3 linked regions of the Callithrix jacchus genome follow. The protein of the gene in region 3 purifies or fractionates together with the protein of the main gene of each other region. This does not show direct contact. Links are inferred from orthologs where the notes say so. Each region holds a gene or a part of one and is shown on either strand. Other genes may lie near its edges.

Region 1 (10,773 bases), on a different chromosome or scaffold from region 3:
GAGATGGAATCTTGCTCTGTCACCCAGGCTGAAATGCAGTGGCACGATCTTGGCTCACTGCAACCTCTGCCTCCCGGGTTCAAACAATTCTCCTGCCTCAGCCTCCTAAGTAGCTGGAATTACAGGCATCCACCACCACACCCGGCTAATTTTTTGTATTTTTAGTAGAGGTGGGGTTTCACTGTGTTAGCCAGGATAGTTTTGATCTCCGGACCTCGTGAAACACCTGCCTCATCCTCCCCAAAGTGCTGGGATAACAGGCGTGAGCCGGCGCGCCTGGCCATTCACATCCTTTTTAAAATACCACTCTTTTCAGCCTACCTTATAAACTACCAGACTTGATGGTCACTCCCATCATTCCAAAAATCTTTAGTGCTTCCTCATAACGCATGAATAAAGCATGATGCTAACCTCTCCTACCATGAACTGGCTACTCTGCTCCAACCAAACCAGTTATTTTCTTTCCCTCAAGGAGGGATGCCTGAGCTAAATGTCACTCAACATTGAAATACACTTCCTTGGCCGCGCTCGGTGGCTCACGCCTGTAATCCCAGCACTTTGGGAGGCCAAGTGGATCACTTGAAGTCAGGAGATCGAGACCAGCCTGGCCAAGATGATGGAACCCCTTTCTCTGCTAAAAATACAGAAATCAGCCAGCATGGTGACAGGTGCCTGTAAACCCAGCTACTCGGGAGGCTGAAGCAGGAGAATCTCTCAAAGTTGCAGTGAGTCGAGATCGCCCCATTGCACTGTGCACTCCAGTCTAGGCGACAGAGTGAGACTCTATCTCAAATAACAAAAAAATACACTTCCTTGATTAAATCCTTCCTTTGCATTCCCATTAGGACCTCTCTTCGGGCACTGACAGATAAACTACCGCCTCATCTTCTCTGCTAGACTTGGATTTCCTAGTAGAGAAATGAGTGCGGCCTCATCATTTGCCGATTCCACGCCTAAGTGCCCAGGCCATCTCGGCGAACTGAGCCAAGAGCCCAAGATTGCGCTGAACAGGACCCAGAAGGAAAGGCCCAGGAACTGCTTCCGGCCGGCTCCGGGCTCCCGTCGGGCCCCGCGCCCGCGCTGCATGCCGGGACCTTCGGTTCGGAACCGGCGGCGAGGCCTACCCAGCAGGCTGCCGCGCTCCTCAGCGATGACGCCTAAACTAGTCCCGCCAGTACCCGCTCCTCAGGAAAAATGCTGCTCCGCAGCACTTACTGGAGCGACCATGAGGGTGACGAATTCGAGCACACAGGCTTCCCGCCACCTCCTCTAAACCGCCGCTGGCATGCCAAGGACAGACGGAGCGGTTGGGTCCCCAAAATTCCGACTGATACGCGCCTCGGCGAACGAAAGCAAACGCGGGATGCTCTCGCTCTCCTGATTGGCTGGTTGGGGACATCTCAATTACTGACAGAAAGGGGCCGGGCGGGAAAGTTAGCTGTGGCCGGCGGGGATTGGCAGAAGGAACCGATACTTACTCGTTTCTCCCGGACGTTGGCTGGTGGAGAAGCCAGGCTGGGGCGCTGAGGCGCTGGGGCATTGAGGCGAAGCAACTCGTGATTGGCGGGTGTGCCTTACTTGGGGCTCTACGATTGGTGGCTGGCCGGTTGCTTGGCGCTGATTGGGCAGCCACAGGAAGGCTTAGTGGGGAGGGGCGGGGGTGCTTTGGGCCCGCCCCGCCGCCGGGATCTGCTGGCGGAAGGGGAAGTGGGAGGGCGGGCGACGGTGGGGAAGATGGCGTATCAGAGCCTGCGGCTGGAATACCTGCAGATCCCACCGGTCAGCCGCGCCTACACCACTGCCTGCGTCCTCACCACCGCAGCCGTGGTGAGCAGCCTCAGCGCCACCTTCCCGTTATCTGGGCTGGATATGACTGGGTCTTCAGGAAACTGGGGTTTGGACGTTGGGGAAGTCCAAAGGGGCTGGTCCCGGTGATGGGTGGAGGCATACAGGGATTATTCTGGGGTTCGAGTTGGCGCCGAGAAAGCGTATCCAGTGACCTGAGAAGGGAGTGCTGCTTCATCGGGGATCTGGTCAGTTTCTCAGAGATGAGGGCCGGACCTGTAGTGGGTTAGGGTTGCGGGAGCCTCCCACCCAAGAAATGTGTCCGAGAGCTCTGGTGATGGCCAGGTGGTACCGTGGTGAGTAGTGAGAGGAAGGTCCGCTTAGGGAAGAAACAGGAATGAGGAAAGCAAGCTGGAAACTGTCGAGAGGGGAACAGCTTATAATAAAGAGGTCTTTGGATAATAAGGGGCTGGCTGGAGGTACCCAGCCCTAATGGTGGCAGGGTCTCGAGTCTCCGTTATTTCAATTGAGTTTTGTTGTTTGACACAGCTGTTCCAGGTGGTGCCCATGTGGTGGGGTAGTCATAGCAGCTGTTTTTACTTGTCCTGTGTCTAAAATATCACCACCTGTCTGCCTCTCATTTCTTCATGTCAGCCTCAACTATTGCAACATACAACAAACTTTTTGTTAGGTAGTGAGAATACAAAGAATTCTACCAATTCTAGAGATTTCTTTACCAACCTTTTCCTCTGGCCTAAGAAGAAAGGCTTAAAGGAAATCAGTCTAAGTGACTGATAGTTGGAAATTGCTAGACCTACTAATCCTTTGTTGTAAATGATGAAATTTTGTCTCTTGGTTGATTTGCTTTAAGAAGCTCTTTTTCTATTTCAGCAGTTGGAATTGATCACACCTTTTCAGTTGTACTTCAATCCTGAATTAATCTTTAAACACTTTCAAGTAAGTGGTTCATCACAATAGTGATTAATGCTTCAGTTTATTCCTTTTCTTACAGTTTAGTAGCAAATCCTGTTACATACTAGCCTAAAAAAGAACCCAGTGGGGACCTTTGATTATAATTGCTTTGTCAGGATATAAAGCAGTGATTCTGCAACCTGGTTGGACTTGAGAATCCCTTAGGGAACTTTGAAGAGATTCTCAAATTCCTCAACAAATACCAAGTCAGAATTTGCAAGGGTAGGAATTAAAATCTATGTTTTATTTTTAAAAGTTCCCTGCATCGTTTTGATATGCCCAATTCCTGTAGTTGGATATCACTGGTTTAGAGTTAATGTTGTAGTTTGAGAGGAGACTGACCAGGTGGCTGCTTAGGGGTTGTCTCAAAGGGATGGCCTTATTTTGTCCATTCACCACCTAGGCACACCCACCACCTTGGTGTTATCACCATGGTCCAGAAACTCAGTTCTGTTAGTACTTTTAAATTGTGATCTGTCTTGCAGGGATCAGATCATATTAACAAAATTCCAAAAGACCAACATCTAAAGCAACATGGTGGTTTATTAGATTACAGTGGGAGATAGTCCTCTCCAGTGATTAAAATGCTAACAGCAGCCAGGCGTGGTGGCTCACGCCTGTAATCCCAGCACTTTGGGAGACTGAGGCAGGCAGATCACCAGAAGTCGGGAGTTTGAGACCAGCCTAGTCAACATGGTGAAACCCCGACTCTACGAAAAATACAAAAATTAGCCAGGCCTAGTGATGCATGCCTGTAATCCTAGCTACTGGGGAAGCTGAGACAGGAGAATCACTTGAAGCCGGGAGATGGAGGTTGCAGTGAGCAGAGATTGTGCCATTGCACTCCAGCCCGGGAGATGAGCAAAACTCTGTCTCAAAATAAAATGCTAAAAGAGAGATGGTATTTCCTGTTCCAGGATGATATTACAGACCATAGTTGGAGTAGGGGAGAGACCCAAAAGCCAATAATTGTGCCTCTACCCATGCTGTACCCTCTGTCTCAAATGTATTTCATTCACTTTATACCTGTTGAGCTCTAGCTTGCCTTTCAAAATGCAGCTTTTGTGTAACCTTTATGTACTCATCCTCCTTTGTTTTAGAGCATCTCTCACCTTTACTTTGCAGTTATTTATATGCTTGTCTCCTCACTAGGATGAGGGCTCTAAAATCTGGATAATTGATATGTAGAACTAATTGTTTCAACATTAATAGTTACCAGTTCTCAAGAATTTAGTGATTTGTAAAGCAGTCCTGTCATCTCTTGTCACTGTGTTCCCACAATACTCACATGGAGCTGTAGTTCCATCCAAGTAAGTCTTACTTCCTACTTGGCTTGCTTGGCTTTACTTTGCCTGGGGTTAAACTCTTGATGACACTGTGCATTTGGAGTTAGGAGTTCCAGATTTGCCAGCAGAGTCTCCCTCTACAACCTGTGGGTCCTTGGTCAGGACATTTAAAAGTTCACCTTTTAGTTGAATAACTAGCTAGTTACTCAGTCAGTTTCAGTAAGTCTTTTAGTTTCCTATCTGTGAAATGGGGGTAGCCTGCTTGTCTCATAGGATTATTAAGATCACAAGAGGTAGTAGAAATTTTTAAATGTTAAAAATACTCTACCATTGTGAGTGGATACTGTGGGTGTGGAGATGTTGGGCAGGGAAGGCTGTATCAGAGTTTCCAACAAGAAAATGAGTGTTTAGCCGGGCACAGTGGCTCACGCCTATAATCCCAGCACTTTGCGGGGCCAAGGTGGACGGATCATTTGAGGTCAGGAGTTTAAGACTAGCCTGGCCAACATGGTGAAACCCTACCTCTACTAAAAATACAAAAATTAGCCAGGTCTGGTGACACCTGTAACAGCTACTCAGGAAGCTGAGGTAGGAGAATCATTTGAATCTGGGAGGCAGAGGTTGCTATAAGCCAAGATCATGCCACTGCACTCCAGATGGGGCGACAGAGCAAGACTCTGTCTCAAAAAAAAAAAAAAAAGAAAAGAAAATGAGTGTTCTTTATCTCCCAAGTAGACTATAATTATTATAGCATTCATTCTTGCAGGGAGTTGGCCATTTGTTCAGACTAGAACTTGGGTTTTTTCTTTAGAATTTTCCTTTCTGGCCAGGTGCAGTGGCTCAGGCCTATAATCCCAAAACTTTGGGGAGGCCAAGGTGGATAATCCCTTGAGGCCAGGAGTTTGAGTCAGCTTGGGCAACATAGTGAGAACCTGTCTCTGTTTTTAAAAAATGGTTTTTTTTTCCTCTTTATAGATTACTCAGTCTTGGATACGTTAAAAATTTTTTAATTAAAAAAGAATTTTCTTTGAGATGTTTCTGACTGCCTAATGTAAACATTTCTCAGCAATTTATATTAGACCCTGAAGTTTTTCTCTGGTATGTCAGATCTATTTATTATATGATAATACTACATATGAAAGCACTGTTTTCTGTTCAGCAAATTAACCTAGTCTTTCTACCAAACTTTCTCCATAAGACAATCACAATTTAAAATTTTCTGTGCTATTGTAAATCTCACAGTCCCAATGATGTCTTTCAAACTTTTAACTAAAAGCAGCAAAAATCTAACATCGGATTATATGCCCTCATTTTGTTTCAGAACAGAATATCACTCTGTCCAAGGCTTCTCAACCATCATAGTCATAGGATGTGTCTTTTGTATTCATATGGAACTGTTTCCTGGTAATTTATTTGACTTAATATATCTTTCTCTTGATTTTTTTTTAAACAGATATGGAGATTAATCACCAATTTCTTATTTTTTGGGCCAGTTGGATTCAATTTTTTATTTAACATGATTTTTCTGTATCCTTTATTAAATGGGGTCAGCATCAAAACTTTGTTTTCTTAGGAAGTAAAAGATTAAGTTGAAACTTTTAATCCTGTTATTTGTTTCTGGTACCATCTTAGCTATAATTTCTGGATCAGTGGAACATAAAGTAGTTGGTTAGGTAGTAATGTTTTGAAAAGGTTTGTAGGTCACTGTTCAAATGAGAGGTTTTAACCATAAAAAGATACCACTTCTACTTTTTAGTTGCTTACAAATCTGATCAAGGGAGGGGAGAAGTGATTTAACTGAGATATATTTCCACAGTGACATCAACAGGTACAAAGTGGTAAAACAACCTGAATACAATGATAATTTAGCAGAATTTGGGCATAAGTTTTAGAGTGGGTTCATGGAGAGTGGGAACTTGTGATCTCCTTCGGTCCTGGTTGCGGGAACTACTGGCTGAAAGACAGTGATGTGTCTGCTGGTCTTGTCAAGTTCCAATTTGTTGAAAGAAAGGGAAACCCCAGCTCTGATCAATGGCAGTTGGGGCCATGGAACACGGCATTCCTCCTCCACCCCTGCCCTCTCTGTTAAGAGGGAGTTACAGTTCAACTCATCTGCAGCTGCATTCCTTCCTGAAGATGGCAGGAATCCATTTTAAATCCTATTTAGGATATCATTCTGGTAAGTTTCCAATAAAATTTTTTCTCATCATAATTCATCTTTATTGACTGAGGTGCTCACACCAGGTCTGGAAACGTGGTTTAGCACACAAGGCTTCTTGCTACAGATTACTTCCAAGTTAAGTTGTAGAAAAGCAAAGATGGTACAGATTAAGGTGCAGCACAGGAAAGACTATACAATTTTTTAAAGGTTTAGTAGGATACTGGAAGCACTTCTGTACGTTATGTGGATTAGTTCCTAGCTAGGGACAGTTTGTAAAATATGGTGCTGGTCTTGACCGTTTCTAAAACACTTGGTAAAAGAAGGGTAATGACACATTACCACTCAAACATTCTTACACAAATGAAGACTTGACTTCTTACAAATAATATGGAATCCAAGTGTACTTACATAACATTAAATTTTACCTTGTTCATATTCATGTGCTTAATATTTTCTTAACTTGGAACTTAAGATATCGTTACTGTCGAATGCTAGAAGAAGGCTCTTTCCGGGGTCGGACAGCAGACTTTGTATTTATGTTCCTTTTTGGTGGATTCTTAATGACCGTATCCTTCAACAAATAGAACACATACAGGAAAATGTTAAAGAACACCCTGTTTCTTCCCAAAGCTTGTCATCTGTCTCCCATAATTCACTAGATATTCTGAAGAAACAGATAAAAGTAGAGCTCCAGATTTTAGCTTCAGGGCACTATCATTTGTTTATTACTTTATTTTTCTGAGATGGAGTCTTGCTCTTGTTGCCCAGGCTGGAGTGCAATGGTGCAATCTCAGCTCACTGCAACCTATGCCTCCCAGGTTCAAGCGATTCTCCTGCCTCAGCCTCCCAAGTAACTGGGATTACAGGCATGCACCACCACACTCAGCTAATATTGTATTTTTAGTAGAGACAGGGTTTCTTTTCCATGTCGGTAAGGCTGGTCTCAAACTCCCGACCTCAGAGGATCCTCCCGCCTTGGCCTCCCAAAGTGCTGGGATTATAGGCATGAGCCACCGTACCCAGCCCACCATCATTTATTTTACAGCACATTTTCTGTGACAAGTTTCCAAGCCTAGAGGTTGAACAGGATGAACAAATCAAAGGAGCTTTTAACCCAGGTGGGTTACTATTAAGTGTCTCAGTTATATCATTGCTGCTTGGTGTACTTCACTTTTAAACTAAGTTGGTAAGACATTTACTTGGTGGCTATCAAAACCAATAAATTATTTTTTAGAAAAAGAATTTTCAGGCCGGGTGTGGTGGCTCACGCCTGTAATCCCAGCACTTTGGGAGGCCGAGGTGGGTGGATCACGAGGTAAAGAGATCGAGACCATCCTCGTCAACAAGGTGAAACCCTGTCTCTACTAAAAATACAAAAAATTAGCTGGGCATGGTGGCGCATGCCTGTAATCCCAGCTACTCAGAAGGCTGAGACAGGAGAATTGCCTGAACCCAGGAGGCGGAGGTTGCAGTGAGCCGAGATCGCATCATTGCACTCCAGCCTGTATAACAAGAGCAAAACTCCGTCTCAAAAAAAGAAAAAATTTTCATCTATACAATAGTCTTAGATATGCTACTGTTGGACAAGATGGACTTGTTCCAGCTAGCTTTATTCACCTCTGAAAAGGTGTTAACCATGAGCAAGCTTTAATATAATTACTGACCAAAGAATTAACAGATTTTCCAAAGAGGCAAGAACTTCACGAAAGCAGAGTATTTGTTTGAAGTAGCTGCAATCTCAGTAATTTAGCCTAAGCAGATTTTTGCATGATTGCTCTGGGTAATTATTTTCTGTTTTTTTTTTTTCCTTCTATTCTAAAGATATAACAACTTGACTTTTCCAGCTCAAACGTTTGTTAGAACACAATTGTTAGTCCTCCTGCTCAGTCTTCCCTATTAAACTTTTAATGTTGACATTTTCCTTAATGCTATCTGCTAGCTTTTTGGTTTGTTTGTGAGCTTAGTTTTCTTGGGCCAGGCCTTTACAATAATGCTCGTCTACGTGTGGAGCCGAAGGAACCCCTATGTCCGCATGAACTTCTTCGGCCTTCTCAACTTCCAGGCCCCCTTTCTGCCCTGGGTGCTCATGGGGTTTTCCTTGTTGTTGGGGAACTCGATCATTGTGGACCTTTTGGGTAAGGCTTTTCTCACTATTTTTTAAATTCTTTTACCTGTAAATGTATTTTGTCACTATTTTTCCTGTATATTCTGTTTGGCTTTCATGTATAAGTATTGTAAAAGACTACAATATTCGTTCATTAATAATTATGCTGCCATTCATCCTAAATATAGGCAATTTATGTTGGTAGGTATGCCTGCAATCCAAATTTTCATTGTCTCCCTCATCCTTTATTTCTGCTTGACTTTAGGTATTGCAGTTGGACACATATATTTTTTCTTGGAAGATGTATTTCCTAATCAGCCTGGTGGAATAAGAATTCTGAAAACACCATCTATCTTGTGAGTATTTACATACTCTTACAGGCAAACTAGGATGGGGGTCATGATCTGTGTTTTCTTGGGCTCTCCTAGCTCCTAGTACACATAGTTGAGGTCAGTAACTATTTACAGATTGAGCAAGCTGGCTGCAGTTGAAGAGCACTTGGATTGGGTAGTAACCGACAGTGCCAGGGTTGTGGCCAGAGCAAGGTTAACAGGCTCAGGATATCTTGTTGAGTAACCTGGTAATTGTTGTTCCAGATGACCACTAGAACTTCATGTTCCAGGAGGAGTCTACTGTTTTTATGAAAGCTGCTGTCCACGTTTAGTGAAGTAAGGTAGCAAAATGAGCAAAACTGATGAAAGTTTCTAATGGTGGACTTTCTGACCTGCCAAGCAGGTGGTTGAGATAAGCAGTGAAGCAGAGTGGAAGTAGCTTTGGACTGGAAACCAGGTATAGCTGTCCTACTGACCAGTTGTATAGCAAGTCCCTCCTTTTTTGAACTTCAGTTTCCTGAAATAGAACAATAGAACTTTGATTTCTTTTTTTTTTTTTGGACATGGGGTCTTGCTCTGTCACCTAGGCTGGAGTGCAGTAGAACTTTTGATTTATGAGACCTCTTTCTACTCTGGAATTTGGTGTCCTTGGGAGATACCATATTAAAAAGGGCTCACTTGAGAAATAAAATGTGAGTTTTTGTTATAAAATGTTTGTTGTAGAATATTTAAGCAAGAAAGTAAAATTGTCCATGATCCTGACACTTGGATGTAGCAGGGGCTGCTATTGTTAACTTTTCTTTTTGTATTCTTCAGACTTTGCTATCTGTGTACTTTTTTTTAAATGCTGAGCCAGTCAAGGCTGTTGTGCACTATGATTGCGCCTGTGAATAGCCACTGCTATTCTTTGGCCAGGCCTTTTAAAATAGCCACTGCATTCCAGCCTGGACAACATAACATATGCCTGTAATCCCGGTACTTTGGGAGGTGAAGGCAGACAGATCACTTGAGCTCAGTGCAGTGGTATGATCGTAGCTCACTCTTAACTCAAACCCCTGGGCTCAAGTGACCCTCCCACCTCAGCCTCCCAAGTAGCTGGGACTACAGGTACACACCACCAGGCTCTGCTAATTTAAAAAAAAAATTTTGTGTGTGGAAATGTGGTCTCTCTGTGTTGCTCAGGCTAGTCTTGAACTCCTATCCTCAGGTGATCCTCCTGTCTCTTGGCCTCCCAAAGCATTGGGATTACAGGTGTGAGCCACCACACCCCACTTTTTTTTTTTTTTTTTTTTTTTTGCAATTGTTTTCTGGCTCAACAAGATATACCAGGCTCATGTTGTGCTCTCCTTGATCCGGTCCTGGAATCAGCTGTTTCTTCAAGGAGCCCTGGTTCCTTTAAAGTGGAGAATGGTATTTAGAAGCCAGGATCTGGGTGCTATATGTGCTCATTGCTATTGAAGTGTTGCTATTCCCAGATCCTCTCAGTGAACAGAGCAGTGGAATTATATCTATGTATGATAATGTATACACATGTATATTTTTAGATCTGTAGATTTTCAAAAACACGGGTTTATGCTATCATTTCTAGTACTACCCCATGGTTCATACTAGCTTTTTTCCTTTCTATTTGTTTCCTCCCATATTTTATTATGAAAATTTCTAAACTTATAGGAAATCAGAAAAAAAATGTGAGCTTCATTTAGGCACCACATAAATTCTGTAATCAATAGTTGCCTGTTCTTTTTTTTTTTTTTTTTTTTTTTTTTGAGGTGAAGTTTCTCTTTTTGCCCAGGCTGGAGTGCAATGGCGTATTCTTGGCTCACCACAACCTCTGCCTCTCAGGTTCAAGCAATTTTCCTCCAGCCTCCCAAGTAGCTGGGATTACAGACATGTGCTACCATGCTAATTTTGTATTTTTAGTAGAGATGTGGTTTCTCCATGTTACTCAGGCTGGTCTTGAACTCCCTCAGGTGATCTGCTGGCCTTGGCCTTGGCCTTGGCCTCCCAAAGTGCTATGATTACAGGTGTGAGCCACCATGCCCGGCCTGATAGTTCCCTATTCTTTTTGCACACCTATCCCTCCATCTAGCTTTCCTGTCCAAAACATATGTGCCATCATATGTATACTTAATT
Region 2 (10,923 bases), on a different chromosome or scaffold from region 3:
CTCTCTGGTCCTCATTTTGCCTCATATAAAGTAAGGTTGTTGGAAGAATTTAGTAAAATAAATCTAGACACCAAACCTTACATCAAAGGATCTGAGAGAGCAACGCTTTTGAGGGCGGGCTTGGCAGGTGTTGCAGATTCAAAGCCTTCATGTGATAGGCCCGTGAGGAATATGTGTTCCATACCTGGGGCTGAGACAGTAGGGAGTGGTGGGGCCTGTGGCTGAACTAGTGAGAGCAGGCTCTGCCAAGCAATGGTCCAAGTGAATGTCATCCAAAGCAATATAGAGCCTGCCCTGCCCCACAGTGCTCCTTCTACTCCAGATATGCCTCGGCTTCGGACCACCAGTCTGCAGCCCCCTAAGTAGATCTGCCATCCTCACAGATGGGGAAACTGAGGTCCCAGTTGAGAATCCGCCTGGTAACCACATAGTTAACTACTGGCCACACAACTAAAATCACCATCTTAACAAAATGCAAAGAAAAAGGTGTTCTTGAATTTGACAAATGAAAAACTGGAGAAAAAAAGTTGGAAATAAACAAATACTAAGATTCATCGACCGTCTTGGACTTTTCCAAGTTTCTTTCCAATAAAGCAACAAAACGAAGCACATAACTGGTTTCTCTACCACCTTTCTCCTGGTTCTCGTAGTCCCAGAGGAACAGACCACACATTACATAACACATGTTTATGTTTTTCTTCAACTAGCTAGTGTTGCTAGAGCCGAAGGCCGGGCTAAAATTAATGCTGTATATTTCCATCTCCCCTGGATTTCTCTTTCACTTCCCCACTGAACTTTGCGCAGCCCTTCATGGTTTATGGAAATTCCCCCATCATTACAGGGCTCAGTGGTTGGGAGGGATTTGGACCTCTGCAGGGTGGGGACACTGAATATGTTGAGTGGCTGTGGCTTCTATCCCTGGCAGGGACATCACCGTCCACTTGGCCTTGAGCAAGCACCCTCCGGTCCTGGGGCCTTATTTTCCCCAGTTGTGCAAAGCAGGGCTGGGAGAAGACCTCACTGGGGTCCTCTGTACACTAACATAGTATTTTTAATTTTTATTTTTTTCAGGCAGTCTCACTTTATCCTCCAGGCTGGAGTGCAGTGGCGTGATTTCAGCTCACCGCAACCTCCGCCTCCTGGGTTCAAGCAATTCTCCGGCCTCAGCCTCCTGAGTATCTGGGATTATAGGCATGTGCCACTATGCCAGGCTAATTTTTGTATTTTCAATAGAGACGGGGTTTCACCATTTTGGCCAGGCTGGTCTTGAACTCCTGATCTCCTGATCTGCCTGCCTTGGCCTTCCACAGTGCTGGGTTACAGGTGTGATCCACTGCACCTGGCCAGAATTCTTTGTTACAATGGCATCTGGGTTTGGTGGAGCAAAACAGATGGAGAATTCCTGTGGGTAGGCATGAGGTGAGGCGCCCTCCTACGCAAGGGACTTCTGGGCTCAAAGGAGGTGGCAAGGCTGGTGCAGGGTGGGTGGAGAGGGGGTGACAGCTGGGAGGAGTGCATTTCCCCACACCCATCCATCTTCCCCCATGTCACATCACCTACTTGGTTTTCTCCCTTCACAGTGAAGAGTTTGCAGCCCAGAGAGGGTCAGGGCCTTACTACGGCCATACAGCAAGTCAGTGACAAAGCTGGGATAAGTCTTGGCTTTCCCAGTACTTGTCTATGGACTGAAACAGCCTTGTCTCAAATCCCAGATGACGAATGTCTGAATCGGGCCCTGACATTGGTCTCAAGCATCATGTTGGGTTCACTGTGCCTCCCAAGCTGTCCCTTATAACCTCAGGGTTCCCAAACCTACTCTCTCTTGGCCCTTCTATCAAAGGCAGCATCCTGTACCCCCAAAGACTAGTGCCTGGGAGGCTGACTGGAGAGGAGACAGTAGACGGCCAAGGGCCCCATGGTGTACAGACACCGAGGCCAAGCTTTAAACCAAAAGAATGAAGACTTCATGGTGACATTTCTGGGATCGGGGCAGGTGGGAGCACTCTTTGCAAGGCAGGGGAGAGGGAAGTGAGCCACTGCCTGCCTAATTTCACACCATTTCTACCCAGGAGCATAAAACGAAGGTCCAAGAGCAACCTGGCAGGGTGCAGGGAAGAGAATCTCGCCCATGGTCAATCGACCTGTTGAAATGAGCAATACATTTCACTTACTGGCAGGGGGCTCTGGCAAATGACTTCACACGGCTTCATATCTGTACAGTGGAGAAAAGAATCCTCTGGACAGAGATGAGGAATAACCAAGGTCATGCATGGGTGGGCACGCACCAGGTGTGGAAGCCCTCTCTGTATCTGTACACAGGTTGCACTCCTGCCTGAGAGATGGCAGATTTCTCCCTGGCTAGCTGCTGCACTCCACAGGACACATTTCAGCAGAAAGAGGCTTCTGTTCAGCAGTGAACAGCGACTGAGTTCGGCAAATTTTCCATTAAATTTCTCCAAGTATTTGTTGACTGCCTGCCGGCTGCCTCGTCCTATGCTAGACAAACAGCCTCAGCGTCACCGTCATCGCCACACTAACACCTGGTGCTTTACAGGCACTGCCCCACTAATCTGTCCTCCACGTTTACCCTAAGAGGTGCAAATTACTATTAGCCCTATTTTATAGATAGAAAAATTGAGGCTCAAAGAGGATTTAAGTAACTCACTAAAAATCACAGAGCTCCTTGCTTACAGAACTGAGATTTAATCCTAGATGTGCTGTCTAGGATTAAACAAATTTGACTCCAAAACCTGACATTTAATCCTCTCTGTGTACAAAGCTGAAGCCAGGAGACTTGAATCAGGAGACTTCAGAGGTGGCCCGGCTCATTAAGAGGGGCAGCGTCAGTTTGCAGCTGAAATTTGAGGCTCTGAGGACAGATTTCTCCAGATCAACTTGCTATTAGCTGTGTGACCTTGGACAAGTTGCTTCACCTCTCTGACCCTCGATTTCCTAGAGATGAGAAAGGCGGACTTTGTCATAGAGCTATTGTGCAAATTAAATATGCACAAAATGCCAAGAACTGCCTGGCGCACAGTATGTTCTCGAGAACATCAGTTCTTGCTGCTCCTGGTGCAGGTCTTTTAGAGACGTTCTGTGGGAACCTGAACGCCTTGGCCTTGGGTCATCTTTTTGACCCCATCCCCAAAACTCAGTGTGGGGAAAAATTAAATCCTTCCAGCACTCCAGAGATCAAGGTCGTGGTGAGTGAGGGGAGAGGAGAGAGGTCAAAGGTTATCATGTTTTGCCCAAGAGAACAGAGAGGTTGAGCAACAATCTGAAGTCACTGAGCATCAGCGAGACCTTGAGTCCAGCCCAGGCTTCCTGTTTCCCATCCAGTGCCTGAGACCTGAGAGAAACTGAGCACTAGGGCCAGGCTAGGAACCAGGTGCCTGAGCCTGAATTATGAATGGTGTGTGATTTGGGGCTAGTTATTAACCTCTCTGTCCCCAGCTTCCTCATCTGTAAAATGGGAATAACCCTAGTAACTGCCTTGGAGGGTTATAAGGCTTAATTGTGCACTGAGCTTAGCGGTAGCCTGGCGCAGAGCGATTATTCGGGAATGCCAGCTTGAGCCCCGGATGATGGTGCCCCTCACAGCTTCCTGTCCTCCACTGGGACAGGAGGACCCAGAGGTCCATAGTGCATGTGAGGCTGAGGCTCGGCACAGGTCTGCTCCTGGTCATATCTGGAGGGGATGGAGAGTGTAAGCTGGTGTTCCTTCCTGCCCCCTCTGGATCTTAACTTCCTTATCTATAGAAGGGGAAAAAGATGCGTGCCCAAGCAGTAGGAGAGGAGGTGAGGCTTACAGGAGACAACAGACAGGATCTCCCCGACAGAAACAGGAGCTGTGCAAACAGAAAGAAATGACTGAGCCTAGTTGCTGTATCTTGGCTTGTACCCCCATCCTGGGGTGCCAGGACCATGGAGCCAGACACCCTCATTTACTTCTGCTTACAAGAGCCAGTGAGCCCACTGGGAGGTACTGAGGGGTACCAGGCAGGCCTGGGAAACAGGACACCCTCTCATGGCTGCTGTTTTGACAACAGGAGCCCAGCTGCAGCCCCTCCCTGTGCCCTGCACCCCAGGGGGTGGATACCCACTCCACAACCACCCCTGCCCCAGGCCTGCTGCCTGCCTGGGCCGTGCAAGACTCAGCGGCCTCTCCAGAACCTTTCGCAGTGAAAGGGATACTTACGATTCACTGTCCCAGGTCAGCGATGGTGCCTGAGGTTGAGGAGACAGAGCCCTGTCCTCCTCCGTATTTAAGCAGTGGCTGCAGAGGGGCAACGGGGGAGGCTGTTGGTGAATATTAACCAAGGTCAGCCCAGTTATCGGAGGAGCAAACAGGGGCTAAGTCCACTGGCTGGGCTCTGAGTTGCCCGCCCACACTGCCTGGACGCTCTGCCTGGGCAGCGCACAGCCTCCACTCCATGTACCAAAAGGAGTCATTGTACCTGGCTCAGAAACCACAGTGTCCTGGGTCCAAGGTGGAGGGGGCGGTGTGAGTCACTCTCTGGGAGAGCACCACGCTGCTGGCCCTCTGCTGTCACTGCAGAATTCTCAGTGGGTGTTCCACTGGTAGCAATGGTAGTTCTACCATTTACTGAGTCACCCCGAAATGCCTGATGCTGAAGACTCACTGCCGCCCTGGGAGATCAGAGTGGGCTACAGCCCATTTGACAGACGAGGAAACTGAGGCTCAGAGCAGAGAGGCCGCTCATCCAAAGTCACACTGTCAGCCTCAGATACAAAAACACTCTTGATAGTCCCGATGGGGAAATGGAGCATGACTGAGGCAGACACAACCATCAGGCTGGCATGGGGGTGGGGAGCATGAGACAGGGTGGAGGGGTGGGAGAGTAAGTCTATAAAGAGGACCTGTGCTGCCTCAGGCAGGCTACTTCACCTCTCTGAACCAAGAAGTGTTTCACCTGCATCTGAGAGAGGTGGAAGTCTCACTCCCAAGCATGGCTGTGAAGTGCCTTGGGTGAAGTGCCTGGCACACTGCAGGTTCTTCATGTGGGTCTGCACAGCCCTCTGCTTAGCCTGCCCCCCAGGCTGCTCAGAGCAGGAGGAGGTTCAGTTCTGACCAGCCTCAGGCCTGTTTCTGTTTTTGCTCCTGGAAGACCAAGGTGATCTGTATTCAGCTTGGATTTTCTTTGGGAATGTGACCCCCACCCTGGTGTTGTTGGAGGCTTTGGGGAGTGCTGGGGTGGAGGGGAGGGGTGGGGCTGAGGCCAGTGGGGCCCCACTTGATTGCAATCCCTTTAGAAGCCTAAATCAGACCGCATCACCCTCTGTGCAAACCGCAAACCTGCTTGGCAGCTGGTGTATGCGCCATAGATCCTTGCAGAACGAATGGATGAGTGCATTTTTGCCCCTTCTGTTATTTGCCAGTCTCACTGCACCTCCATCTCGGGGCTCTACCAGGTGAGTGACCCCCAGGATTCTCCAGCACACATATTCAGACCAGAGGGCCCACTTAGTGGCTGTGAGGCCTCAGGCGATTTGTATAACCGCTCCGAGCCTCAATTTCCCCATCTGTAAAATGGGGGTGGTGATGGTGTGTACCTTGTTGAGCTGCTGTGAGGATTAAAATGCAGCAGTTTAAGGCAAGCTCAGAGCCGGGTGCTGGGTGTTCCCGGAAAGCCCCTTCTGATGCTGTCCTCCCTCCCCCTTGTCAGGGGTCTCCCTGGTGTCACTGGGGTGGGGTGGGCTTCCCTCCAGGCAGTCTCTCATTCAGTTACCCTGTGAGGGGAGTATGTACCACCCTCCTTTCAGGAAGCAGAAAACTGAGCTCAGACTCCTGTCCCCTTCTCTCTCAGCTCCCTTTCCTGACAGCTCCATCCCCTGCCTTCAGGGCCCCGTCCTTCCCCTGAGATGGCTGAATGGATGTTCTGCTACTCTACCTCTACTCACAGCTCCAGCGCTAGGCTGTGGTTGAGGTCACCTGCCCTTGGCATCTCCTGGCCATTTCTTTCCCTCTCTGGGCCTCCATTTTCCCATCTGCATAATGACCCCCACTCCAGGCCCAGCTGTCCCTCCATCTGTGGAACTGAGTGAGCAGTAGCAGCAATGTCCCACCTTTCCCGCTCTCCTCAAGCTCTGTTCCCTCCGGCAGGTACAGGAGCGTGGGCTGGGGACTGGCAGGAAGGTGCCACCCCTTCTACCTGGAATTCCTGGCAGCAGCAGCGGCTAGGCCTTCCTTGGAGGCCCGGCCCCCTCCTCCTTTGCTCAGCTCAGGATTCTGAGGGTTGTGGTGTGGAGGCAGTACACGCCCTGGGTACAGTGCCCAGTTCCTGCTCACGCAGGAAGTAGACTTTGGATGGCGGATGACAGACACAATAGGTTGGGGAGGGGAGGGGAGCTTGGGCAGGAAGGGGCCTTGGCCATTGCCAGGCAGACACAGGACTGGCCCTCATAAATCCAGACAGCCCTGCATGTCATCTCTTCCACCTGTCCTGCCTCAGCTCTGTGACCCAGGATGAGTCACCCTGTCCCTTTGAGCTTCTGTAAGTGGCACAGTCACACTGCCCAGAGGATTACTAGAAATGATAGGCGTCGCTTTCCTGGCACAGACCTGGCACCAACATCTGGCAGGTTTCTGGAGCCAGCTGCAGAGGGCAGAGGACTGAGCCACCTATGAAATGCCCAGTGGGCGACCCTGAAGCTGGGCAGGTCTGTGTGCGCTGGGGAGGTGTGTGTCACAGGACCTGGCTGGGTGTGGAAGGGATCGTAGCGGGCAGCTGGGGCATTTGGAGGAGGAATGAAGAAAGCATGAGTGGAAGCAGTTGGGGCAAGTAAGGGGCTCGGAATTTGGGGTCCTGCTGTTTTGGGTGAAGGGCTCCAGGCTCAGCCCCTGCCCTGCTCTGGACATTCATCCCGGGAGGAAAGGCTGGGGTGATCTGGGAAAATGACCAGGACAAAACCCAGGGGAGTGGAGGGGGGCTGAAGCACTCAGTGGCCGTTTGCAAGGACACTATACCCCCAGGAACCCCAGGACACAGTGGGGAACGTTTTGTCCACTTGGTTAGTCCCAGAATTGTCAATTGCATCATCTGGGCTGATCCCCTGGAGGAAATGTGTCATGGGAAGATCCTGTGGGCTGGTCATGAATAAGGGGCTTCTGGGAGGCCCTGCCCCACCGCAGCGCCCTGCCTGGAGATGGGAGCCTTGTGGTATGGACTGGAAAGGGGTGTGAGAGCCAAGACTTGGGGTCTATAGCAAGAAGGGGTAACGGGGTGGGGTGTGCCAGTGGCCCTGGGCCAAGTAAATCAAGACTGAGTGGCTGGTCAGGAGAACAACAGTGGACTTCAGGGGAGCTGAACACATTGGCAAAGTACCCCAGAGAGTGCTTCCCACCACACACACACACACACACACACACACATACCATGCGCACCCTCACTGTGCACCCTCCCTCCCAGGCACCAGCTTCCTTCTTTGGGAGGCAGTACAGGTTACTGGGGTCAGGATCTAGCATCTGGAGTCAAGTCTTAACTCCACCACTCTTTTTGTGAGATCTTAGACAAGCCATGTAACCTCTCTCTGCCTCAGTTTCCTCATCTGTGAGACAGAAAGACTCTAAGAAGAGTTACTTCCATCAGGACTGTGAAGATCCAATGAGTTATTAACATCTGAGCGCTGCGGGCAGCCTCTGGCTTTGATAGGCCCTGAGTCAATGCTACCCACCGAAGGCCACGACCTTTGGGGACGTGTCCTGGCTCTGAAAAGCCTTATAGATGCGTCTCAGGGGTGTAAGTGGAGGAACAACTGCTGTGTTTGGCCCCAGGCTTGGGGAGCTGCACCCGTTATTGAGGGACACCTCCTCAGATTCAAACTTCCATTTTTTTTTTCCAGAAAGAGGCTGCCAGTCCCTTTTGGGGCGGTGCTCATTTTGGCTTCCTGAAGGCACAGGGCCAGGTGACTTTAGCATCTTTCTGAGCACCTGTGACGTGCAGAGGATGCAGGGGTGCTGCAGCTAGGCGGACTTGGATCCGGGGAGTGCCTTGGTTCTCTGAGCCTTGGTTTCTTCATCTATAAAATGGGGATAAAAGTCTCTTTTCAATATAGTCATGAGGCTTAAATGAGGTGATGCTCAGGGCGTTTGACACAGAACTGTTAGCACAATCGACACTTGTGTCTGTCTTCTTATAACTTATTCAACTGGTCAGGTGAGTTGGATGTTTGAAGTTTGTCTTCTAAGAGAAGAATTAAGTTTGCACCATCTGTTCACCTCCTCCAGGCATCTTTCAAATTAACCAACTTGCAAAACCCTAGCAGACACTCTTCCCTTCTGTGGGGCAACCTCCTGAGCCGTTTCCTGTGTGGGGGAGGGTTTCTGCTCTTTCTTCAACTATCTGGCCTCCTCACAGCTTCTTGTTTTTACTATTTTTTTTTTTTTTTTTGAGAGTCTCACTCAGTCACCCAGGCTGGAGTATAGTGGCGCAATCTTGGCTCACCACAACCTCCGCCTCTTGAATTCTGGAACTGTAAGCCATTTTCATGCCTCAGCCTTCCTAGTAGCTGGCATTACAGGTGTACACTATCACTTCCAGCGAGTTTTTGTTTTTTAGTTGAGATGGGGTTTCACCATGTTGACCAGGCTGGTCTCAAACTCCTGGCCTCAAGTGATCCACCTGCCTCCCAAAGTGCTGGGATTACAGGCGTGAGCCACTACACCCAGGCTTTACTCTTTATCCTTTACTCAGACAGAGAAAAATAAGGAAATCTATACACTGCAATGGGCAACTTAGTTCAAAAAAGGAAGAAAACATGCATCTGTAGCTCCATCCTCTTCTTGTTCAAATTAATGAAACTGATGTTTTATTGCAACTAACCTCTTCCAAACTTATTTTAACTTTACTTCTTTGGGGTTATAGGCCACGATGGTCATTATGGATTGGAAGCTTTTTTTTTTTTTTTTTTTTTTGAGACGGAGTTTCGCTCTTGTTACCCAGGCTGGAGTGCAATGGCGCGATCTCAGCTCACCGCAACCTCCGCCCCCTGGGTTCAGGCAATTCTCCTGCCTCAGCCTCCTGAGTAGCTGGGATTACAGGCACGCGCCACCATGCCCAGCTAATTTTTTGTAATTTTTAGTAGAGACGGGGTTTCACCATGTTGACCAGGATGGTCTCGATCTGTTGATCTCGTGATTCACCAGCCTCGGCCTCCCAAAGTGCTGGGATTACAGGCTTGAGCCACCGCGCCCGGCCAGATTGGAAGCTTTTAAGAGACTCAATGCGTCCTATTTAACTACAATCATGATTTGATTTTAGTTGGTCAGCGGGAATGCTTTTAAGCTATCTCATTATCCCTTCAGCAATCTGTGCTGATGTTCAGCCACTCACACTGCTTTCTAGCAATGCCACCATGTTCAGCTTCCAGGTCTGCCTTCATTTTCTCTTGCCCCAAGTCATGGCTTTGGGGATTCTTCCCTGGGAGAGGAAGAGAGCGGGCAGTGACAGAGGCCTTCCGGGAACCACAGCAGGGCTGAGCGTGTAGGACTCATCCTCGTGTGGGGATCAGGGGAGACCCAGCAGGACTTCAGGCCATATTACTCAGAAATACAAGGCCTGTGTGGGTGGCTTAGGTAACCGAGAGCAATAGGGCTCTTAATTTGCCCAACTCCGACCTTGGCTTCAGATGGTTCGATTTGCCCTGTTGACTTCATGTTGACTTTGAGTGTTTGTTTGCTGGGTATTAACAGGCCTTCTGCTTCCATTTTATAATACGCATCTCCGAATACTCCAGGGGCGGCATGCCACCCCCTGCATCGTGGCCGAGAGTCCTCGCGCATGTGCTGTCTGCCAGGCCCCGTCTTAAACACTTCGTGTGCATCACCCCACTCTATCCTGTGCAGTGGGTACCACTGTGATCTCCTTAGAACATATGAGGAAACTGAGGCAGAGAGTGTTACCCTGATGCTGAAACGCGTACCTCCATCTCTCCCTTCCTCTCTTTCTCCCTGCTTGCTGCCTCTGCGACACTTCATACACATCCCTTTGTAACATTAGCATAATAGGTAACAGTGAGCACGTGGCTCATGCCAGCGCCATTCCAAGCATTTGTCACAGATTAACTCCTCATCCTCATGTCAAGCCTATGAAGTCAATTTCTGTTATCCCATTTTATAGATGAGGAAACTGAGGTTCATAGACGTTGTGTATCTAGTCCCAGGTCGTGGAGCTGGCAAGCAGTGGAGAGCAGATTCTAACCAGGCTGTGAGATGTGTGACCCCAAAGCTCGGTGGCATCACCAGGCTGCAAGTGACCTGAGGGCAAGGACTGTATTGTTTCTATCTCTGTGGCTTTGTACTGAGCACAAAATGGGTGATTAAAAGTTGCTTCATGAACTGAGTTAATCAAGGATTGTGGAAATGGAGAGTTTCTTTCATCAGATGGCTAAGGTATCTTGCCAGGGTGAAAGTGTGGAAACTGTATATATACTAAAAATTTGTGTGAGACGTGTAACTCCTTAGGTAAAGCAAAACCAAACCAGTTGGTTTGTTATTCAAGCTGGAGTCTAACACTGAGGAGGGAGAGGTTAGCAGGCTGCCAAAGCCTCCCAGCCAGGACAGAGAGCCTGGTTTCCCGGTGCCAGGCCTGGGCTTCCACCACCACCCAAGCTGCTTTTCCATCTGGCTCCTCTGTCTGCCCCATAGAAAAGGCAAACAGTCTGTGGGAGGACAACAGAGCGAGGACTGAGCTGTCACGATGAAATGCCACCCATGAGGAGGGAGATTGCCTCATGCCCCTGCCGTCCCTCTTTCCATTCTCCCTGTGGCCCCTCCTGAGTTCATCATCGGAATCCCAGCCAAAGCAACCCACTTGCTGATTGGTTACAAGATGCCAAGGCACTCTGTTAGCAATTTGTGCTTACAAACTTTCATTTCCTCAATAGCTCTGCAAAGAAGGTTTT
Region 3 (10,126 bases):
AGGCAAGGAACAGGGTCCCCTCAAAGAACAAGACCAGCTGAGGGATGAAAACAATGGACTGGGCTACTCCTTCTTGTCTGACTGCTCTCACCTGTAGGTTGGGGTGATGGGGGAGGCTTTTTGGGGACAACCCTCTTTTTCCTGTGCTTCTTCACCAGCTCTGGACTCTGCTTTTCCTCCAGTCTTTTGATGAGTTTGTTGAGAGTGGATGTCAGAGCCAGCATTGCCCGATCCCGCTCTGACTCCTTCTTCAGCCCATCTGGGTCCAGCTCCTTCTCTGTCTGGAATACCCAAGAGAAGATAAACACTCAAGGGTCTGGGGTATGGAGGTGGCCAGCAGGCCAGGCTCTGTAGGAGAGTCTGCTATTTTGTGACGCAGTTTTGTTCTTGTTGCCCAGGCTGGAGTGCAGTGGCACAATCTTGGCTCACTGCAACCTCCGCCTCCCGGGTTCAAGCGAGATGGGATTACAGGCCTCAGCCTCCTGAGGATCTGGGATTACAGGCCTGAGCCGGTGCACCCGGCCAGAGTCTGATATTTAAGTCTTGACCCTCTCTCTGGTCCCCCTTCCCCACCAGTCCTGATTAATTAGAGAAACAGCTACCATTTTTGAGTGCACTGTCCTTGCCCTGGTTGCTGTGCCCTCTGTTTCTTTTAGCCCATCAGCCTGTTCTGCCCCACAGGACAAGGTGGTTGTAGAAGTAAGGGGAGGAAGAGCCGGGCTTGCCTCCTGGATGATGTTGTCCAGCTCCCGCTCCATGCCAGCTTTCACCTCCGAGCGGAGACGGTCTCGGTCTGACGGAAGCAGGATCCCTTCCAGTTCCTTCTCAAATTCTCCCAGTAACTGCCGTTCATCCTCATCCTCATCCTCATCCTCATCCTCCTCTTCTTCCACCTCACTCCGCTGTTCTGGGTCACCCTTTTCCTTTTCCTCTGCTTCCCTCTGAGGGACTTCTGCAGCATCATCTGCAGCCTGCTCTTGGCCTATGTTTGGCTTCCCCTGGGTGGGTCGGGAGTGGGAAGAAAGAGGTAGACAGTTGGGGTTTCAGCAGAGACACACGGTGGGGTGCACACAAACAGTAGCAGGTGTGTGGTACTTGGGGACCCAGGAGTTGAGGCCCAGGTCAGGGTAGTTTTTCAAATGTTCCCAGTTGGGAGGTGGGTTCTATCCATCCCCTGAGCACAGCCTATACCTTTTTTGTTCCACCTTTCAGCTCCTCTATGAATCGAATCAAATCCGCAGGGCTTCGAATGACTTTGACCTGCACATTGTTCTGAAAATCTGAGATGAAAGAATAATAATTATGAACCTGTTCTGTTGTGTCTAAATTCTCTCTTTTTTTCTTTGAGATGGAGTCTTGCACTGTCACCTGGGCTGTAGTGCAATGATGCAATCTTGGCTCACTGCAAACCTCCACTTCCCGGGTTCCAGCGATTCTCCTGCCTCAACCTCCCAAGTAGCTGGATTTCAGGCGCCCACCACTACAATTGGTTAATTTTTGTGTTTTTTGTTTTTTTTGTTTTTGAGATGGAGTCTTGCTCTGTTGCTCAGGCTGGAGTGCAGTGGTGTGATCTCAGGTCACTGCAACCTCTGCCTCCTGGGTTTAAGCGATTCTTCTGCCTTAGCCTCCTGAGTAGTGTGTCACCAGGCCTGGCTAATTTTTGAAATTTTAGTAGAGATGGGGTCTCTCACCATATTGGCCAGGCTGGTCTTCAACTCCTGACCTCATGATCTGCCTGCCTCGGCCTCCCAAAGTGCTGGGATTCTAGGCATGAGCCACCACGCCCAACTTAATTTTTGTATTTTTAGTAGAGATGGGATTTCACCATGTTGACCAGGCTTGTCTCGAACTCCTGACCTCAGGTAATCCATCCGCCTCAGCCTCCCAAAGTGCTGGGATTATAGACATGAGCCACAGCACCTGGCTCTTTTTCAACATGGTGTGTCACTATGTTGCCCAAGCTGATCTTGAACTCCTGGGCTCAGTCTTCCTGCATCAGCCTTCCAAGTAACCAGGATTACAGGTGTGCATCACTGTACTCCTAAATTCTCTTTTGATTCCTAAGGAGAGGTAATGAGAGACATGGTCCCTGCCTCTACCTGTTTGATAGCAAGACAAGGGCAAACATTTGTCTGCAGAGAGCACCATCCTAAGATGGACACTCAGGTAGGAGAGATGGATGCTAACAAGCTGCTAAGTCCCCACTCTTCCATGCACTTCTGAGGCACTTCTGGCAGTCAATCCAGTTTTTAGGACTATAGAGGACATTCTGGGGCTAAGGGCTTGTCTTCCCTGGAGCCCTTCTGTTCTTTCCACAAATATTAACCATTTAGTTTATTCAGTTCCAGGTATTCTACTATGAATTATGGATGTATTCTCATTTCAGCCCATGCAACCCTCTAAGGTAGGGGTTATTACCCACATTTTATGGGTAAGAAAATTGAGGTTAAGTGAATCACAAAGTCACCAAGTGGTGGAGCTACTGTGTTCTGCTACCTTCCTAAAACAGCAGTGCTGTCTACAGAGTATTAACTCCTGTAAAAATGAATTTGCTGGCTGGGCACAGTGGCTCATGCCTGTAATCCCAGCACTTTGGGAGGCTGAGGTGGGCAGATCACGAGGTTACAAGTTCAAGACTAGCCTGGCCTATATGGTGACACCCCGTCGCTACTAAAAATACAAAAATTATCCAGGCATGGTGGTGCATGCCTGTAATCCCAGCTACTCAGGAGGCTGAGGCAGGAGAAATGCTTGAACTCAAGAGGCAGAGGTTGCGGTGAGCAGAGATCACATCACTGCACTCCAGTCTGGGCAACAGAGCAAGACTCTATCTCAAAAAAAAAAAAAAAATGAATTTGCTGCTGGCTTGGCTGCTCCCTCCTAGTGCTTAGCTCTCCCCTCCACCCATACCCCAGCCAATCCTAAAATACATCCAGTAAAGGAGACATGGAGGGTTCACTCACCACTGGGAGTGCCTGGAGCTGAATCTGCTGCCTCAGGGCTTGGGTCCTGCTCCTGATTAGGAGAAAAGGACAGAGTTAAGTATGAAAGCCTGTTCATGCCCTCCATACTATGAAGGCAAAGGTTCTGGAGATATCCTTGCATCCCTAGGTAGATGTAGGTCACCTCACAATGACCCCAGCTGCAGTAACCCTCCCCCTCCCCATCCTGTTCCTCTGAGGCAGCTGGTCTCACCTCTGCCTGCACCTCCTCCCCTCCTGGGGCCTGGTCCTCTGGCTCATGAAGCATCTTCCAGAAATCTGAGTCCTTACTGTCATCCTTGGTCAGGCTGGCACCTGGGGTACAGAAAACAAGGAGAGATCAATCTGACAGGAGGGGTGAGATGGAAGGGAGCAAATAGGATGGGGTATCTTCCCCTCCTGTATCACCAAGGGATGAGGGCCCCTGGTACTCTTCCACCCCACCCCACCAATCAGTCAGGACAATAAGATCAGGGGGAAGAAGAAATGGAAGCAAGTTTCATGGAACAGGTCAAACAAGGTCCTACCTGCCATCTTTTGGGGTGCCACCCCAGACTTGGTCTCACTCCACACTTGGGGACCCAGGTCTTGCAGCTCCTCTATGATTTTATCTCCATACTGCTTTGAGTCTATTGAGAAATAGCATGCAAGCAGGCCAGGAACACGAACACATTCCTCTGGCTATTCAATACTTGGTCTTTTGCCACCTCCTGCCCCTGTATCTCCCCTTCCTCTCTACTCACCAGCTTGCCTCTGAATATAGGCCATGTACTCCTCAGGCTGCAGGGAAGGGTGACAGCGAATGGCCTGGGGTGCAGCACTGGGTGGGGGCCGGAGGAGAGGGTGGGGGCAGAGCCGAGGAGTGCGAACTGTCAGCACATAAGAGCAGGACAAGGGCTCATCCACACGATCGATATAGTCCCCAGAAATACCTGCACCCTCATCACAGAGGAACTGTGGGGACAGAAAGGGTGAATATACTGTAATCACCACCAATAACATGCTTTAGTTCTTAGAGCAGGTGTCTTTTACTAAGCACTGATTATCTGTCAAGCACTGTGCATACACTGTGCATACGGCACTTTACATAAATTGGCTCATGTAATTATCACAAAAACCCAGTGAGGGGGTATTGATATCTCAACTTTGTGCCTCAAGAAACAGGTATGATGCAGTTAAGGCACTTGTTCAGGCTGACCAGCTTTCACGTGGTAAAAACAGGAACTGAACTCAGGCAGCTTAACTGTAGGTAACCAATTTGTGTTTTATATTCTTGCTTTGTATAAGTATTGTATGTGTATATATAAATAAATATATATATATACTTATATTTGCTTTATATATGTATTATTATTGTTATTATTTGAGATGGAGTCTTGCTCTGTCACCCAAGCTGGAGTGCACTGGGGTGATCTCAGCTCACTGTTGCCTCCCAGGTTCAAGCAATTCTCCTGCCTCGGCCTCTCAATTAGCTGGGATTATAGGCACCCACCATCATGCCTGGCTAATTTTTGTAATTTTGTAGAGAAAAGGTTTCACTGTGTTGGCCCAGGTGGTCTTGAACTCCTGACCTCAGGTGATCCACTGCCTCAGCCTCCCAAAGTGATGGGACTACAGGTGCGAGCCACCACGCCCGGCCAGTATTATTTTATAAAATATATATTTCTGTATAAATATATATATTTTTAAAAATGTGAATATGGTAAAAAAAAAAACTTCAAACAATTCTAAGATTCTTTTTATTATTATTATTTTTTTATTTTTTGAGATGGAGTCTCACTCTGTTGCCTAGGCTGGAGTGCAGTGGCATGATCTCAGCTCACTGCAACCTCCACCTGCCTGGTTCAAGCAATTCACCTGCCTCAGCCTAGATTCTTATATCATTCAGAAAGAGGGTAAAGATATTGTCTGGCCTTTGATAAATTAAGCATGTAATATTCTAATTTCTAATATAACTATTAAAAGTAAGAGAGGCTGGTGGCTTACACCTGTAATCCCAACACTTTGGGAGACTAAGGCAGGAGGATGGGTTGATGCCAAGAATTCAAGACTAGCCTTGGCAACATAGTGAGACCTCATCTCTAGAAAAAATTTAAAACTTAGCCAGGTGTGGTGGTGTACGCCTGTAGTCTCAGCTACTTGGGAGACTGAGGCAGGAAGATCCCTTAAGCCCAGGAGTTCAAAGTTACAGTGAGCTATGATCATGCCACTGCACTCCAACCTATGCGGAGAACAAGACCTTGTCTCAAAAATGAACCAACAGTAGGAGAGGTCCTACTTCTGAAATGGCAGCATGAGGGACTTCACAGACTCACCCCTCAGGGAAACTCCATAACTGATGAAAATTTTAAAACACAAAGCATTTAAACTCTTTGGAAATTTTCCTAAGGACATATAACAAATAAATGTTTATTCAAGAAAATCTACGAAATCTTTTTTTTTTTTTTTGAGACAGGGTCTCACTGTGTCACCCAGGCTGGAGTGCAGTGGTATGATCATGGCTCACTGCAGCCTTAACCTCCTAGGTTCAAGCGATCTTCCCACTTCAACCTCCCGAGCTGGGATTACAGGTGTGTCCCATCATATCTGACTAAATTTTAAAATTTTTTGTAGAGACAGTGTCCTGCTATGTGGTCCAGTCTTTCTCAAACTCCTGGGCTCAAACAATCCTCCCACCTCAGCCACCCAAAGTGCTGGGATTACAGGTGTGAGCCACCATGCCCAGCTACTAAATCTTGAATAGTAAGAATCTGCTGCACTTGAGCCATGACCTGCTCCCTCACTCTATGCCCCAAACCCCACCTCACAGCTCAGTTTGACAAATGCTCCACTCTAGCAGGTGAGTGTAGTTTAAAAAAAAAAAAAAGCTGGGGTTGGGGAGCAGGAGGACCCTTCTTATTCCCTGAACATCCAGTCATGAGATATAGTATATGGTATTTTACCAGAAGGGGCAGGGTACAGTAACTAAATTCCTACAAAAGTGGTCACAAGATCAAGGGCTCCCTTCTTCCACCCAGCCCCACTCACAGGGCAGAGGCTTTCCCTCAAGTACAGTGGGACAAGAATACCGGGGCCCTGACTGGCCTCACTGAAGCTTGCTCAGAGAGTGGAGGTTTCACAAAAGAGATGCAACCTGGGAGAGCAGAGGCTGTTATCCCCTCCTAGCTCCCTGCTCATAAAGCAGGAATGTCCTTTCAAGAGAAGCAAGCCATTGTTCCTGACCCCAACTTCTGAGCAGGGCCTTGGGGATTTTGCCCAGCAGGAGAGGCAGTCCATAAGAACCCAGAGCTCCAAAACATTCTCCAAAGGACTGACTTAATGTGAAACAGAGTATGGGGAAATTCAAGCCTACAGGCACTTCAGAAATGTAGAGATTTTGGTGGGAGGCAATTAAAAGGAGGCTGGTTGCTCCATGATAGCAACAGGCTAAACCTTGGGACACCTAGTTTAACAGAGAGAACCAGGGAAAAGGCAACTGAGAGCCATCCTGGAGTCAGAACAAACCTACATATTAGCCTCAAAAACGGGCCCTACAAAGGGGCCCACAATTAATTGGACTAGACGGTGGAACAACTTAAGCCCCACAAGTCAAAAACAATAAAGCGACTAGTTGGCAATGAGTGGAGCCCAACAGCTGGGGGTGATACCAGGAGAGGCCGACAGCATAACAAATTCACGAAAGAAACAGTCAAAAAGAGCCTGCTGAAACCACTGTCATCTAGTGTGACTGTGTGCAGGGCCAAGACTGTGCTCTCTGAGGAGACACTAGAGGCTTCATGTGGTGAGGGAAAGAGACTGCACTCAAGTAGTTCCACCAAGTCCCTAAACAAATGAACAAACAAAAACCATGGGGTGGAGGGCAGGAATTTTTTTTTTTTTTTTTTGAGACGGAGTTTCACTCTTGTTACCCAGGCTGGAGTGCAATGGTGCGATCTCAGCTCACGGCAACCTCCGCCTCCTGGGTTCAGGCAATTCTGCCTCAGCCTCCCGAGTAGCTGGGATTACAGGCACACACCACCATGCCCAGCTAATTTTTTTAATATTTTTAGTAGAGACGGGGTTTCACCATGTTGACCAGGATGGTCTCGATCTCTTGGCCTCGTGATCCACCCGCCTCGGCCTCCCAAAGTGCTGGGATTACAGGCTTGAGCCACCACGCCTGGCCGAGGGCAGGAATTTTAACTGTAGTCACTACAACATACTATCTAAAATGTCTGGTTTTCAACAAAACCATTACAAAACATGCAGAAACATTACAGTATGATGCATATATAGGAAAAATATGCAGGCAAAAGAAACAACCTGTGAGAGGGCCCAGATGGTGGATCTCACAAACACTTAAAAATAGATATTTTAGCTAGGCGCGGTGGCTCACACCTATAATCCCAGCACTTTGGGAGGCCGAGGTGGGTGGATCACCTGAGATTAGGAGTTCAAGATCAACCTGACCAACATAGAGAAACCCCATCTCTACTAAAAATACAAAAAATTAGCCGGGCGTGGTGGCACATGCCTGTGATCCCAGCTACGAGGGAAGCTGAGGCAGAGGTTGTAGTGAGCCAAGATCGCACCATTGTACTCCAGCATGGGCAGTAAGAGTGAAACTCCATCTCAACAACAACAACAACAACAAAAGTAGCCTGCATATATACATATATATGTATATATGTAATATATATTATATATATATATATGTATATATACAAATATACAACTATATATATGTATATTTGAGACAGAGTCTGGCTCTTCTTGCCCATGCTGGACTGCGGTGGCACAGTCTTGGCTTAACCTCCACCTCCTAGGTTCAAGCGATTATCTCACCTTAGCCTCTCAAGTAGCTGGAATTATGGGCACCCACCACCATGCCCAGATAATTTTTGTATTTGTAGTAGAGATGGGGTTTCACCATGTTGGCCAGGCTGGTCTTGAACTCCTGACCTCAGGTGATCTGCCCACCTCGGCCTCCCAAAGTGCTGGGATTATAGGCGTGGGCCACCATGCCCAGCTTGTAGCCATTACATTAATAAATATGTTCAAAGAATTAAGAATTTAAGTCACACAAAGTGTGTTCTCTGACCACAACGAAATAAAATTAGAAATGAATAAGGAAAAAAAAATTTTGAAATTTAGAAATATGTAGAAATTAAACAATATATTCATAAGTAACCAATGAGTTAAATGAAAAAAAAAAAACAAAACTATAAATTATCTCAAAAATGAATGAAAATGAAAACATAACATATCCAAACTTACAGGATGCAGCTAAAGTAGTGCTTAGAGGGAAATTCATAGCTATAAACATCAATTTTTTAAAAATGAAATCTTGACTCCATAATCTACCCTTCTACTTTAAGAAACTAGAAAAAGAAGAACACACTAAACCAAGAGCCAGCAGAGGGAAAGAATGCAGATTAAAACAAAAATAAATGAAATAGAGAACAGGAATACCATCCTATGTATCCAAAGACAGGGAACCACAGATATACCTTTCTAGGGGGTTTATACATGTTTTTAAGTTTGTGTAATAAGACATTTCAAAAAAGACAATCTTTAAATATACATAACTTGTACCTGGCAATTATACTTTTTTTTCTTACTTTATTTTTTTCTTTTTTAATAGATGCAGAATCTTGCTCTGTTGCCCAGGCTGGTCTCAAACTCCTGGGCTCAAGCCATCCTCCCTCCTCAGCCTCTCAAAGTGTTGGGATTATAGGCATTAGCCACCATGCCTGGCCCAGTTATAGATAATATATTTACACATGCATATATGTACAACAATAATCATTTGGGATAACAAAAGAATGGGGGGACTATTTTAATCAGTAGAGTAACGGTGACAAAATGATGAAACATACAATGGAATTTTATGCATCTATAAAAGCAAAAAAGATGTACTGCCATTGAAAGGTCTCTAAGATTTACTGTCAAAGGAAATAAAAGCAAGGTATAGAACAGTGTGTTTAATTTAGTATCTATTGTTTATAAATAAAGGGGAAAGGAAATAAGAATCTCCGTTCATAATTGTTTGTAATCACACAAAAAAAGGTTGGAAGGATACATGCAAAATTAAGAGCAGGGATAACCTGTGGGGCTGGAGCAGGGACAATGGGGAAAGAATGGGAAACGAGCAGATGAGAGACAAGTATGGGAGGGAAATATTTCTTTCTTTTCTCTTTCCTTCTTTCTTTCTTTCTTTCTTTCTTTCTTTCTTTCTTTCTTTCTTTCTTTCTCTCTTTCTTTTTTCTTTCCTTTTCTTCTTTCTTTCTTTCCTCCTTCCTTCCTTCGTTCCTTCTTTTTCTTTCTTTCCCTCCCTCCCTCCTTCCCTCCCTCTCTCCCTTCCTTCTTTCCTCTCTCTCTCTTTTTCTTTCTTTCTTTCTGACAGAGTCTTGCTCTGTTGCCTAGGCTACAGCATAGTGGAATGATCTGTGCTCACTACAACCTATGCCTCCCAGGTTCAAGCAATTTTCCTGCCTCAGCCTCCCAAGTAGCTAAGATTACAGGTGCATGCTACCACATCTGGCTAATATTTTGTATTTTTAGTACAGACAGGATTTCCCACAGTGGCCAGGCTGATCTTGAATGCCTGACCTCAGGTGATTCACCCACCTGTGCCTCCCAAAGTGCTGGGGTTATAGGCATGAGCCACCGCACCTAGCCAGGAAATATTTCATTACATACCTTTTAAATATTACTTTCTGGGTTTTATATCATGGGAAAGTATTATCTATTTAATAATTAGATAAGGAATTTAGAATAGCCATTAAAAACTTGTGAGAGATATGTAAGTAGTTGGAGACAGATTTATGAAATATAAAAGAGGAAACGCTAAAAATGAATGAGCTAGGCATTCATTTCAAGAAGTTGAATAAACAGCAAAAGATACCCAAAAAAGTAGAGGCAAGAAAAAGTAGAAGGAAGATTAGAGTAGAAATTAATAGAAAACAAATACAATAGAGAAGCTTAACAGTTGGTTCTTTGAAAAGTGTAACAAAACTGTCTAACCTCTGATTTGACTGACCAATAACAAATGAGCGATGCAAAAAATAACCCATGGGAAATGAAAACAGGAACCTAATGACAGATGCTACAGAGATTAAAAAGATAGAAGAATATAATGAACTTTATGCCAATAAATCTGAAAA

Evidence for each region.
Region 1: the proteins of OS9 (region 3) and DERL2 purify together in Homo sapiens (affinity purification with western blotting; 3 studies listed by BioGRID, with this or other methods). This does not show direct contact. The link is inferred for Callithrix jacchus from reciprocal best matches to the Homo sapiens genes OS9 and DERL2.
Region 2: the proteins of OS9 (region 3) and SERPINA1 purify together in Homo sapiens (affinity purification with western blotting; 4 studies listed by BioGRID). This does not show direct contact. The link is inferred for Callithrix jacchus from reciprocal best matches to the Homo sapiens genes OS9 and SERPINA1.

Annotation. Positions count from the first base shown.
Region 1 is NC_133506.1:107,013,775-107,024,547, reverse strand, and holds the start of DERL2 (derlin-2), read left to right. Parts: upstream 1-1,717; 5' UTR 1,718-1,734; coding exon 1,735-1,827; intron 1,828-2,676; coding exon 2,677-2,742; intron 2,743-5,496; coding exon 5,497-5,570; intron 5,571-6,676; coding exon 6,677-6,770; intron 6,771-8,143; coding exon 8,144-8,339; intron 8,340-8,573; coding exon 8,574-8,664; intron 8,665-8,904; coding exon of another isoform or gene 8,905-8,908; exon of another isoform or gene 8,909-9,788; intron 9,789-10,773.
Region 2 is NC_133509.1:129,219,412-129,230,334, forward strand, and holds the start of SERPINA1 (alpha-1-antitrypsin), read right to left. Parts: upstream 6,294-10,923; 5' UTR 6,088-6,293; intron 4,242-6,087; exon of another isoform or gene 4,199-4,241; intron 1-4,198.
Region 3 is NC_133510.1:61,987,502-61,997,627, forward strand, and holds part of OS9 (protein OS-9), read right to left. Parts: intron 3,936-10,126; coding exon 3,725-3,935; intron 3,611-3,724; coding exon 3,509-3,610; intron 3,297-3,508; coding exon 3,196-3,296; intron 3,016-3,195; coding exon 2,964-3,015; intron 1,281-2,963; coding exon 1,192-1,280; intron 999-1,191; coding exon 726-998; intron 282-725; coding exon 92-281; intron 1-91. UniProt on the Homo sapiens protein: Lectin component of the HRD1 complex, which functions in endoplasmic reticulum (ER) quality control and ER-associated degradation (ERAD).